Danio rerio: one gene and its partner. The protein of the gene in region 1 purifies or fractionates together with the protein of each later gene. This does not show direct contact. Links are inferred from orthologs where the notes say so. Each region holds a gene or a part of one and is shown on either strand. Other genes may lie near its edges. The genes, in order: pan2 and pan3.

Region 1 (6,893 bases):
CATCCAGTAACAGGGTAATTTTTCTGCATGTTTTTGCACTTCTTTTCTAATTTCTTTTTTGCTGTCACTCTAGTTTACTGTTGAAGTGCCTGGTGTCGCCATCATGAGACAAACTAGTCGTTTCTTCTTTTGTGGTCACACATCTGGCAAGGTGAGTGCAGCAGCTGAGCGAAAATGGATGTGGAACAAATAGTTTCCTCCTTTCGCTTTTCCCACAGAATAGAGGGATGTGGTGTATAAAAAGTTTTGCCCTTAGCTCATGTGGGAATGTGCTGCCTACACTTCAGCTGTAAACACAGGTATAATACATATGGGCTTTTTCCTTTTGTTTATTTACACAATCCTCGTTTTCTCAGCTCAGACTAGCCGGTGGCTGGAATTTTCATCTTGTCCACAAAATTAAGTGGAAGAGCTTTTTCGTGCATGGATTTATCTGTCTCACCACGTCAGCTAAAACATCACTTTCATTAAAATCATGCAAAAAGATTAAGGTCTTTCATTAGTAACCGAAGTTACTTTCATTTGCCAAGATTTTTCCTATATCACAATATGTCCTATTAAATTACATTTTCTTCTGAGCCAAAAAAAAAAACAAGTTTTGATGCTAGTTTTACCATTATTTACAAAAGATGCATCCATAGTTTATATTGTAAAAAAATCTTACCAGGCATATTTAGAGCAAAGATTATTTTATGACACTGAAAACACTGTATTTAAGGATCACAGTTCATCCTAAAATACAAATTTATTTTCCTTTAAATTATTATTTTTTTTACTTTTAAACTATCCTTTTTACCAATTTGTCTTTAAAAAGCTTTTAATAACTTAAAATGTAATGCTAAAAAAAGGTAATATGACCACTAGCACAGTTCAGAATAAGTATGTTCCTTCATTTATACATAAATATATTATTTGGCCCAATATTCGAAGGCAAAATAAATAAATTAAGTGAGGTTAGAGGAGGAACTTTTACTTTTAATTAAAAAAAAATATATTTCTCAAATTATGTTGAACAGAGCAAGGTAATTTTCACAGTATTTCCTATTATATTTTTTCTTCTGGAAAAAAGTGTTGTTTCTTTTAGTTCGACTGGAATAAAAGCAGTTTTACATTAAAAAATACAATTTTGAAGGTTTTTATTTCAGCCCATTTCCCCCCAAATGGCTACAGAAAAAAACACTTAACCAATAGCTTACTTAAATACCCTAACCTGCCTCATTATTTTAGTAATCTAGTAAAGCCTTTAATTTGATGACATGTTAAGGATCACAGTTCACCCATAAAATATTGATTTATTTTCCTTTAATTTAATTTACTTCTTCATTATCCTTCAAAGGACAGGTTTCCCCCATTTGTCAGCAAAAAGCTTTTAATCATTTAAAATATAGTAAAATTAATATCACTAGTGCAGGTACATACATATAAGTATGTTGCTTCATTAATACTTGAATATATTATTTGACCATATTGTGACATTTTATTTTCACAAAAGTAAACAGTTGAAGGCAAAATGAAAGAATCAAGTGATGTTAGAGCGAGGCAATGATCACAGTATTTTCTTTAATTTTTCTTATGGAGAAAGTCTTGTTTCTTTTAGTTTGGCTGGAAGTTTGGAGTTTTTCAATTGACTGCAGAACAAAATACCATTACCCAATAACTTGCCTAATTAACCCAACCTGCCCAGTTAACCTAGTAATCTAGTAAAGCCTTTAATTAGCACTCAAGCTGAATACCAGCATCTTCCAAAACAACTAGAAAAACATCACAGCATATACAAAAGAAATTAGCATCTATTCTTCCATTTAGTTGTCTCTTACGTCAATCTATAGATTATGAATGCTTCCTCTTACCTATGTTTTTTCAAAGTACGTAAAAAATATTGACACCCTTTACTGTGTTACCGTAATATTTAAAGTGTATTGTAATCCTTGGAAAAGAATCTCTTAATGGTCATTTGTGCATTGTTTGTTGTAGGTGTCTCTTCGTGATCTGCGCACGTTTAAAATGGAGCACGAGTTTGATGCATTCTCCGGCAGCCTGTCTGATTTCGACATTCACGGTAACCTGTTAGCGGCATGTGGTTTCTCAAGTCGCGGTCTGAACGGGCTGTCCTGTGATCGGTTCCTCATGGTGTACGATCTGCGCATGATGAGGGCCGTCACCCCATTGCAGGTCCACGTGGACCCCCTATTCCTCCGCTTTATCCCCACATACACCTCCCGCCTGGCCATCATTTCACAAACAGGTATGATGCACATGTGTCTCTGTCTGAAGTGATGTTTATCCAGCTATTATCTCTGAAAGCGACTGTTAAAGTTGTAATGTAATGACATAAAGAAGAATCTTCATGAAAAATACAGTCAAAAATGACACCAAACACAACATTTAGACACTAAACACAATATTTTTCTTGTATCTTTTGCAAAATACTATTGTTTTCATAAGTAGGAGAGGATAGCAGAAGTATAAAAAGTGACATATTATAACCAACATTTGTTCATACCAGTAAGAAAACTGACTGAACAAAAGCAAAAGGGATTTTTTGTGTAAATATTGTCTTATAGATGATTGTAATCCATTACAAACTGTATCTATCAAAAATTCATCTGACAATAACAGGATTATTTAGCTCTAATTTCTAGTTTAGCTGTAAGTTCTTGTCATAATTTGGCCCTATTTTTGAAACTATAGCAAATTAACTGTGATAATGTGAGAAATCTTGAAGAGGTGTCTAAATAATATTTGGTTTAACTGTATGTGGGATAGTATTTGTGTTTGGGGATTTTTATTCGGAGCTTGCCTGTTTATTCTATAGTATTCTTCTTCCGTCTTCAGTTGTTGCTTAATCAAATTTTTCAGAAGCTCACTAATATTATATGAGGATATTTTTTGTGGCTTCTTCTGACATGTCTATACTGGATGTAAAAGTTCTACCTTGTTTTCATTTCTGCTTTGGCTCTTCTCATATTGTCCACATTTTTACTTGGTAGGTCACGTGAAGTGATTTTGCTGAATGTGCCGAACAACGGTCCGGCCGTGTATTGCAATTTCCTCGCTTTAAAACATATATTTTAAATTCTGTTTGCGAGTTCTGAAATAAAAGAGTCTTTTAAAGAGAACTTTTTAAGTACAAATGAAGCTCTAATCACAAAAAATAAAGTAACTGATAACAAAAGTTTGTAACCTTGTCCTCACATACAAATCTATGATGTCATAGATCTTAAACTACGTTACATTTAAGTGAAATTTGAGTCAAATAAGTCAAATTAAAACCGTAATACTGAATACTGTTTTTTTTTGCCTTGAATTAAAATGAACTGAAAATTAACCAAAATAGTAGGAAATGTAAACATACTTTGACTGAAATAAAAAGTAATTATTAAGACATTCAAACATGATTTAATACCATTAACTGATGATATATACGGTTGAAGTCAGAATTTTTAGCCCCCCTTTGATTTTTTTTTTCTTTTTTTTAAATCTTTTCCAAATTATGTTTAACAGAGCAAGGAAAATTTCACAGCATGTCTGATAATATTTTTTCTTCAGGAGAATATCTTATTTGTTTTATTTCAGCTTTTTATTACAGAGCAAACCATTGTTATACAATAACTTGCCTAATTACCCTAACCTGCCTAGTTAACCTAATTAACCTAGTTAAGCCTTTAAATGTCACTTTAAGCTGTATGGTCTTGAAAAATATCTAGTCAAATATTATTTACTGTCATTATGGCAAAGATAGAAATAAATCAGTTATTAGAAATGAGTTAATAAAACTATTATGTTTAGAAATGTGTTGAAAAAATATCTTCTCTTTGTTAAACAGAAATTGGGGAAAAAAATAAACAAGGGGGCTAATAATTCTGACTTGGTCATTTCTAGCATTTGGGGATGTGAGATTTACTCGTTTTGTTGTTTTGAGAGTGTTAGAATGAATATCACCCATAGGCTCTTCCCTCCTTTGGAAAGCAGCAGCTCATTTGCAATTAAAAAGAACACACAAAACATACGTGTTTTCAAACCCGAATAAGGGCAATTTTTAAAGCTATAATAAATGATTCATGGGGTATTTTGAGTGGAAACTTCACAGACAAAATTCTGAAGAAGCGTAGTACTGTATGCTCGCTTTAAAGTACATATGAAATCAAAACTAACCATATTGATTTTGCTAGCTTACATCCCTATAGTTTTGTACTGAACAATTCATCTGTGCATGTCATTTAGAAAATATTTTTCCATTTTAATCTTTAATTGAAATCTGAAAGCGCACTTCCTGTTTGTTTTCAATAAAAAAAACTTCAGATTTCTGTCTGCGGTATTGGGGTGTGTCTAACATACTTAACCACACCCCTTCAACTTTCAGTTTTGACGTGGCTATGACAGCATACAGAAATGGTGAGGAGGAAGTGCCTGTTAGTTTGTAAGAACTCACCTGAAACCCTTTTCCCGATCTTTCTGAGTGAAATGCTTACTTCTACATCCAATCATCTTGAGGTACAAACAACAAGCCACGCCCACTTTTTATGTGTCATAGTATGAAAAAAAGAACATTTAAAGTCCACATGAACTAGAAGCTGTGAAGCTCCATTTTTTCATATTGTGATGCAGTTCCTAGAGAAACGGAATATCAAATGAGTAAACAGTGGGCGTGGCTTGTTTCTTTAATTTCAAGCTGATTGGATGTAGTAAAGTAATCATTTCACTGAGAAAGATCTGGAAAAGGAATTCAGGAGAGTTCTTACAACCTAGCAGACACCTCATCCTCACCATTTCTGTTTGTTGTTAAAACATACAATTGGAGGGGCGTGGTTAAGTATGTTAGCCACGCCCACTACCTTAGACAGACATAATCTGAGAATTGACTGAAAACAAACAGGAAGTGCATTTTCACATTTCAGTTTAAGCTTTCAATTTTAATCGATTAAAATTTCTTAATGACACGCACAGATGAAATGTTCACAACAAAACTAGCAATGTGAGCTAACAAAATCAACATGGTTAGTTTGGATTCATGTGAACTTCAATGTCTTGCAGGTCAGTGTCAGTTCTGTGAGCCCACCGGCCTGGCCAGCCTGGCTGATATCTTCCACGTCAACACAGTGGGCCAGCTGCTGATGAGCTTTGACGTGTCCTCCAGCAAGCAGGCTCTGTCATTCGGGGACTCGGGCGGCTGTGTGCATCTGTGGTCCAGCGCCCCTGAGGTGTCCTATAACAGCTACTCTAGAGACACAGAGCTGGCGCTGCCCTGCCTGGTGGACTCACTGCCGCAGATGGACTGGAACCACGAGCTGATGCCTCTGTCTCTTCTGCCAATGCCTCTCACCAGCACTGAGCCTCTGCTGTCTGACTGGCCCACCGCCCTCATCGCACCCAGCCCCAGGTATAACTGAGCTTAAATGGTTATATGTGCAGCTGTGGCGAAAAAATTAGTTCTGCATCATTTCCATTAGCGTTGCTAATATCTTCTTTTGTGTTAAACAGAAGAAAGAAACTCAAACTTGCTTGGAATAACAATGAGTACAGGATGACGTGGTTTTTATTTTTGTGTGAACTATCCCTTTTAAATTACTTAATGAAAATACAGTTGTCCATTGTAAGTTCTTATGAACTCACAGTGCATTAGCTAATGTTTGGCACAATTTTGGATGTAAATATTTATTAAATGTTAAACTGATTTGATGATTAATTGATGTAGTACAAATAATGGTCATTCAAACACTAACAAGCATTAAATAATGTTAACTTATTGTAAAGTGTGATTAGATAAACTGCTATTTTGTAAAAAAAAAAAAAAAAAAAAAAAAAATATATATATATATATATATATATATATATATATATATATATATATATATATATATATATATATATATATATATATATAAATATGTAATTTTCTTGTGTAGTGCCTATTTTTGTAAAAAAAATCTGGATTGTTCATGCATAAATACATATTTTCATAATGTGCACGATATATTCATTCCATATTTCATTTCTGAACATACCTGTGTGTCAGAGGCTTATTGTGTAATACTGCCCCCTGCAGTACATTTCTGTAAATGTGCTCAATCTATTATGATATGCTTTTGGTATTTTCATTTAGTAGAGATGTATATTTATTGTAATTTTTCTTGCATCTCTTTTCCATGCCAGTTTTCTTTACACAGTTTTTGGACAGTAAATCTCTTAACAAATGACATTTTTTGGGGATGTTTATGGATGTTGATGTGTTTGTTTCACTGTCAGACGAGCGCCTCCAGTAGACCCAGAGATTCTGAGGACAATGAAAACTGTGGGATTTATTGGATACGCACCAAATCCTAGAACCCGTCCCAGAAACCAGGTAATTTTTCAAAATACATGGCAAGGCAAGTTTCATACACAATGGTATAAGAATATACCATTAAATATAATAAAAAATATAAACAAATAAAAAATGATTCAAAACAGATTAAAATGTGTTAAAATAGGTTTTAAAGGAGTAAAAAAAGAGAAAGACATAATAGTGTGATCTGTCAGACGTAGCACAGTGCTCATTCAGTAAAAGCACAGCTAAACAGATGTGTTTTAGGTGTTGGTTTGAATTTAACTAATGTTGGAGGAAGCACATTTGATCATTTCTGGAAGCTGATTCCAGCAGCACCGGGGGACGGGGGTGCAGTAGCTGAAAGCGGATTCACCCTGCTTTCACTGAACTCCTGGAATTTCTAATTTACTTGATCCTAACGATTTGAGGGATCTGTTAGGTTTGTATTTAATGAGCATATCCCTAATGCAATGAGCTCCTTGGCCATTAAGTAATTTACAGACAAGGAATAACACTTTCAAATTTATTCTGAATGTAACTGGGAGCCAGTGTAAAGACCTGAGGACAGGTGTAATGTGCTCTAATG
Region 2 (6,893 bases), on another chromosome or scaffold:
TTTCATAAAATCTGGGGTGATTTTGAGTCTTAATTTGGCCACAACTTTCTCTGCGTTTCAGCAAATGGAATGACGTTTTGGTGACATCTTATTTTGACACATATTTTAAGAAAATGCTTTGAAAATTAAAAGAAATTCAACAAAACACTCTGGGCTAATTTACTACATTTTCGTTAAGTTATTGGCTGTTTTTGTACCATTATTTTGACACCAAATAATCAAGCATTCTTGATTGTTGCTGATTTTCACTGTTGGGAGAAGGTAAAATGTTTATTTTTTAGTGTTTCAAATGATCAAAAATAAATAAATAAATAAATAAATAAATAAATAAAAATCGGCACACTGCCACTCTCAAACTTTTTTAATGTCACATGTTGACCTATATGTTCTTCATCAGGTCACCTGATGAAGACCATCTAGGTCGAAGCATTGCGTGACAAAATTTTTTGTTTAAAATGACATGATTATATGGAGTTAGGTGTATTTGTGTCCGCATATGTGGGAGTGTTAGACCTTTGCGCACTATTTTGATATGTTTGAAAAAAAAAAAAAAAGCAGCAGCTTAGTTCTCAGAGCATAATAAACATAGTAAGTGTATTTAACATGTATTTATGCGCACACACTATAATCTGCTGTTTTACTCCAAAGAACTCCAAAAAAAAATGGAAAGTTTTTTGGACTAGCCTATATAAGGCATCAAGTGCACTAGTGCTCTACCAGTCCCACACCATTTGTTCACATTTACACTGCAGTTCTTGATGGTCAATTCCGGTTTTGTGACTGTATCAGATTTTTTTGATGACCTGCTTACATCATCTTTTAGAAGTGACTCATATCTAATCGTCTGCATTCACACACAAAAAAAGGAGGGGTAGGGCTGATTAAACACTTGATAATAAAAGAGAGCACTTTTCTCCATTCTTGTATTTAATCTGTTCGCAGATTCATTTTTTTATTCTTTTGAACAAGTTGTTTTACTATTGTTAATGACAGAAAAGTGCTCATTTGACAAGCTGCTTTTAATCTTTAACCTGTAGGTATGTTAATGTAATGTCCATGGCGTGATTTATGCACGTGATGTATGCAACAGTTTTATATACCGTTTACGTGGCGAATGTTGCTCTCTCCCTCTCTCGCTCTCTCACATGCTTGAATACTTTTGCTATATGACAATATAAATAATTCTTGCTCTAGTATATGAAATGTAAGGTTTGGGACTGAAAATGAAATGAAAGCATCAGAGTTAATGTCATTTGCTGTGGTTTTTTAATGATACGTGACTCGCATTGGCAGGTGAAAATCCAATCTACCTGCTTACACTGCAGACAGGAAGGCACAGATCCGATTCATATCAAATAAGCTTACACATATAACCCTTTGAGCAAATCAGAATCCATGCGTTGTTTTCACATGCACCGAATCCAATCAGTGCCATTTGGGAGGAAAAAAAAAAGTCGTAATTGGGTCGCTTAAACCATGCAGTGTAAATGCAGCCTAGCGGGTTAATCGTGCTAATTGATGAACAAAAAAATATATAAAAAATTAGTTTTACCTCCTCCGAACAGAATACATGATTATTTTGTCATGGCTTTGCAATAAAAAAGTGGTTATAATACAAGTCAATGAGGCAAAAACAGCCACGAACATAACGAAAGGGTAGTCAATGCGGTATATGCACAGCTAGTGTTTTTCAGCCAATGATAAACATCCTATGAAAGCTTAATGTGACTTTTTCAATTTCACAAGGTTGCTTTTACAGCACCAATGTTGTAAAATAAACTCATATTTTAAAGACATGGCGGGGGAGACTTAAATTGAATTTAGAGCTGGTCTGAGACCCACTTTATAACGTATCTCTCTCAGGCAGTGAAGATCACTTATTTTTTAAAGATTCAGATCTTAAGCGTAGCAATTTAATAATAGAAAGTCAGTTCACCAGAAGTGCTGAGGCTGGCTGCCTGAAATTAAAAAAAAGTCCACATTTACCCCATTAGAAAAGTACACAAGGGTTAAAGGCTGACAGACATGCCAAGCAAAACACAAGTATAGATTTTTGAGATCGAGTCACTGACCAGGTGCAAGAGCGGACGCTGTGGAGCTGCTCAATCCAGGATGAGGAAAAATGGGAGAGGCGAATGCTGGCACGGTTGTCTGAGACATGGAGGCCATTCGTGGAGCCCCTTTTGGGACAAACTCACTGGCTGCAGGGTTAGGAGCCTACAAAAGACAAGGAGGAGCCTAGCTCAATATTTCAAGATGTCTTAAAGATGTCCCTTTTTAAACCACTAATGAAGAGGTGTTGTGAGGTCCTAATAATAATAATAAAATTATAATTTAAACAATTCTTTAAATTCAATGAGCTGATATTATGTTTTTATAATGAAGAGTTCAGATGCAAAAATCTCTAAGTACCATCTGAAATATTCTCCTAAAATGAGCATTTTTTTCAGCCTCCTATGTTTGTTCAGTTATTTTTCTTAAAAGGCAATGAAAAGAACTTATTCTTCACTGTAACAGTAAAATTACTCCACCTGCACAGCAGTTGAAAAAAACATTTAGAAGAAAATATAAAACGGCATTTGGGGGTTTTTGCACCTAAACTCTTCAAATGCAATTCAATAAATGTCAAATATCTGTAGACTTCTAAAAGCTTACATTACACTGTTAATTATGTGAATAATTTAAAATAAACAAAAATAAAAACAATTCCTTGAACAGTTTTCTGTCTAGTATTACATAACAAAAGTACAGTGCTGATTCAACAGGTTTCTAGGAAAAAAAAAGTCAATTATTGTTTCCGTGTGAACAGTGATTTTGTGAAAACGGTGACGTTATGCATGTGCATTATTGACATCTGCAGTTCCTTAACAACCTAAACAACAAGACGACAGAACCATATATGTGCAGATTCAGAGAGTATTTTTATAAACTGAAACAAATAAAACTACTGGCCTCAGTGGCCTGGCATGCACAATGCAACATTATTGTTGTACAATGGTTTTCGCAGATCGGTGTGAACGGGAATTGCTTTGTTGCGTCAATTCTAAACTTTTCAAAAACACAAAAGAAACACTTTTGTGCTTTTATTACATGGTTACTGTGTAAACATACACTTACAGAACTCCTGCATATGTAGGGTCTTTTCAAAAACACTTGATTCTAATTAGGCTTGAGTTTTAGGGCAATGGTTAATAAAAAAATAATTAATAAATTAAAACAACAATTATTAAAAGGAGTAAAAAAACACCTTGAAATATATTTAAATAAACAACAGCACAGTAACAGAAAGCAGAAAATATACATGTCCGCTTGTTAAGTGTGACGTCATGAGAAACTGCTTCCGGGTCCAAGTGCTCTATCAAACAATATGGCAAGACTCATTAAATGGTGATAATAAACGTTTACAAGGTGATGTAATACTTTCAAATATCACAATCACAAAACGTGCTTACTTTTTTACAAGTTGTTAAAATATTGGTGTCTGTGATGCAGCAAGTCCAGAGTAGGCATGGGCCGGAATAAGATACTGACAGTATGTTTACCTTGGATAAAAATATCACGGTTTCACGCTTTTGCAGTGTTGTGATTACTGCTCTAAAATATATTCTTTTTTAATGTCTGGGTAAAAAAAAATAAAAAATTTGAACAATTTATTTTATTTTGAGAAACATTTACAATATTTTGAAACAGTAAACATGTCAGGCTAAATAAATTATTGACTTCTGCTGTCTTCATTTGTTTCAAAAACAGATATTTTCACAATTTAAAATGGCATCTTTTCTGCTGGAGATACTGATGTCTGAAAAAACAAAAACAAGTAAATATAAAATCGTACACATATCTTAGGAACGGTATTGCAGAAACCTTGAATTTTCCTAACCGCAGAATACTTTGAAAACGGTTATCGTTCCATGCCTGTTGTGTACACCATAATTTAGTATAAAAATTCACTTCAAACGAGTAGCGGCTTGGACCAGGAAACAGTATTCTTTACGCCATGACTGAACAAGGGGATATTAATTATCAAAAACTAACTATTTTCCCAAATAATATTTTTCATTTTTTTATTATAATGTTTTCTTAATTTCAATAGAGTCTTTAAGCATACAAATAAATGTTGGCCTTTTAAAGTTTAGAATGGGGGTCCCAAGCAAGGATTATCATTTTTGGCGGTCCGCTGACTCTAAAAAATTGAAAACCCCCCGTCTTAGAGAGTGTTTACATAAGACATGTTCTTGCATTCAAAACAACCAGATGGAGCACAATAGAAGGGAACAGAGCACATTGGTCTGGACATCTCATCCAAAAATGCTATGGAGATGGTCTAAATGTGTATGGTCATCAGAAATGTAAAACTGAGGAACTTGAATCCAAATGTTTACTTTATTCCAGTGAATTTAGTCTAAAAGTTAAACCCTGTGTAAACAGAACTTCAAGCATTGCTGATAAAGTATACATTTTTATATTTTATATGTCCCTTTTCTTGTGCCCTTTTGAAAGATGTCTTTAATACAGATGCTTCATCCACTTACAAAATAATTGAACAACTACAATACAATACAAACAGCATAACTGAGACTCACCTTTCTCCTCTGCGATATGCTTAAAGCACCAAAGTCACTGAAGAGAGATGATGTTGGGGAATTTACTGGATCTAAAAATAAGAGCAGACATTAAAAAATGAATCTTTGCACAATGGCTTTATCCACCAAAAACAAAAAAATTATTGATTTTTCTCACCGTGTGTGCTGTGGCTATAGCTCTTGGCACCATCATTCAGCAGACTTGGAGAACTGCTACTGCTGGTCATCCTCTGAAAACCCAACATGTGAAGTATCCAGGTATTAATCGCCACTGTGTGTTCAATCTGGTATCTAATGGTTTCATGCACATCACCAAACATAGTAACTTGTGGTTTAAATCATCACCTGCATCATTGAATATTTGGATTCTGCTGGGCCTCCAAATCCGTTGACCCCAATAAAGGTGCTGCTGAAGTACGAGTTGGTCAGACTGGCTTCATTCAGAGCACCTCCCTCCATCCCAGGGACTGCAAAAACAACAGTTACCTTGGTGTTATATATGTATATAGATGAGCAATTCCGTGCAAATGTCAACCTTGCGATGAAAAATAAGTTTTCACCAAAATATGAAAACCATTTCTGTTTTTTTTTTTTATGTAAGCAAGTGTTTTACAGTACTTCAGAAATACTCAAAAATGCATCTGTCAATGTTTTCAAACTATTCTATTTGATTTACCAAAGTCACACAAGTTGCAATTTCACATCCGTCACATCCATAACGGAGAGATGTCACATCCATAACGACACTTTTTTCCTCAAATAAAATAAAAACCAATATTTTTTGTTTTTATAAAGAGCCAACTTATATCCTTTTGATTATCATTATGTCTTTTGGGTTGTGCAGTTTAATTCACAGAATTTTTACAAAGTATGTTGTATACTGTAAATCCGCAGACTTTTCATGTTTATTTTCCACATTTAAAGTTCAAAACATGTTTACAGATTGATGTTTTTCTGGTTCCATAACTGTTCTGGAAAATATAAACAGATGCTTCAATTTAATGTTAACACATATCTTCTATTCGGATTTATGTTTTAAGTTTTTACTGCAAATGTCACATTCATAACCCTGAAATTGCTCACATATATACAGTTGAAGTCAGAATTATTAGCCCCTTTTTAATTTTTTTTATTCTTTTTAAAATATTTTCCTAATGATTTTTAACAGAGCAAGGAAATTTTCACAGTATGTCTGATAATATTTTTTCTTCTGGAAAAAGTCTTTTTTGTTTTACTTCGGCTTGAATAAAAACAGTTATTAATTTAAAAAAAAAACATTTTTGGGACAAAATTATTAGCCCCTATAAGCTTTTTTTTTCCGATAGTCTACAGAACAAACCAGCATTATACAATAACTTGCCTAATTACCCTAACCTGCGTAGTTCACCTAATTAACCTAGTTAAGCCTTTAAATGTCACTTTAAGCTGCATAGAAGCGTCTTTAAAAATATCAAGTAAAATATTATTTACTGTCATCATGGCAAAGATAAAATAAATCAGTTATTAGAAATAAGTTTTTAAAACTATTATGCTTATAAATGTGCTGAAACAATCTTCCCTCCTGTAAACAGAAATTGGGGAAAAAAATAAACAGGGGTGCAAATAATTCTGACTTCAACTGTATGTATGCATATATATATATATATATATATATATATATATATATATATATATATATACATATATATATATATATTTACAGTGTTTTAAAAGATTAGTGTGCTTTCATAAAAGAAAGCGTCATCGAGTTTCTCCTGAATGCTAAAGCGAGGTTTTAGAAGTTGCTAGACATCATTTCCCACTTTATTATGACAATACAACGAGGCTTTTTTAGCAAAGCTTCATTGAAACACAGTAGCTCACAAAATGCATGTTATTATGTTAAAGGTTTCTAAAGATGCTTTCATCTGGCCTGTAAACAAAAGCATGTCGCTTGTTATGGCAAGCCATTTAATATATTAATACTAGTCTACTCATCTAGAACTAGGAAAACTGTGTCTAATAATGGGTATTAAAATAAAATAAATTCTAAAAGACAAGTCAAAACTGGATTACTCCTGTACACACAACAGATACACAATACATGTAATGCATGTTTTGAAAGATTGTCATATTCATCTTTAAACAAAGAATACACAATTATGCATCTTAGGCAATATTTTAGAAAGAGCTTCTAAAGCATTTTCGCATTATTTGTTACTTTTAAATTGTAATTGCACCTGTTTCCGCTTCTCTTTAGCTTTTTACCTGCAATACGTGCAGACAAATAATGTTTGCCGTTACCGGCTTTTAAAAACAGTCATGGACAGA

Evidence for each region.
Region 2: the proteins of pan2 (region 1) and pan3 purify together in Homo sapiens (co-immunoprecipitation; 5 studies listed by BioGRID and IntAct, with this or other methods). This does not show direct contact. The link is inferred for Danio rerio from reciprocal best matches to the Homo sapiens genes PAN2 and PAN3.

What each region holds. Positions count from the first base shown.
Region 1 is NC_133198.1:34,930,096-34,936,988, forward strand, and holds part of pan2 (PAN2-PAN3 deadenylation complex catalytic subunit PAN2), read left to right. Parts: intron 1-73; coding exon 74-151; intron 152-1,974; coding exon 1,975-2,245; intron 2,246-5,034; coding exon 5,035-5,380; intron 5,381-6,246; coding exon 6,247-6,343; intron 6,344-6,893. UniProt on the Homo sapiens protein: Catalytic subunit of the poly(A)-nuclease (PAN) deadenylation complex, one of two cytoplasmic mRNA deadenylases involved in general and miRNA-mediated mRNA turnover.
Region 2 is NC_133199.1:25,602,905-25,609,797, reverse strand, and holds part of pan3 (PAN2-PAN3 deadenylation complex subunit PAN3), read right to left. Parts: intron 5,051-6,893; coding exon 4,929-5,050; intron 4,814-4,928; coding exon 4,741-4,813; intron 4,655-4,740; coding exon 4,584-4,654; intron 2,218-4,583; coding exon 2,073-2,217; intron 1-2,072. UniProt on the Homo sapiens protein: Regulatory subunit of the poly(A)-nuclease (PAN) deadenylation complex, one of two cytoplasmic mRNA deadenylases involved in general and miRNA-mediated mRNA turnover.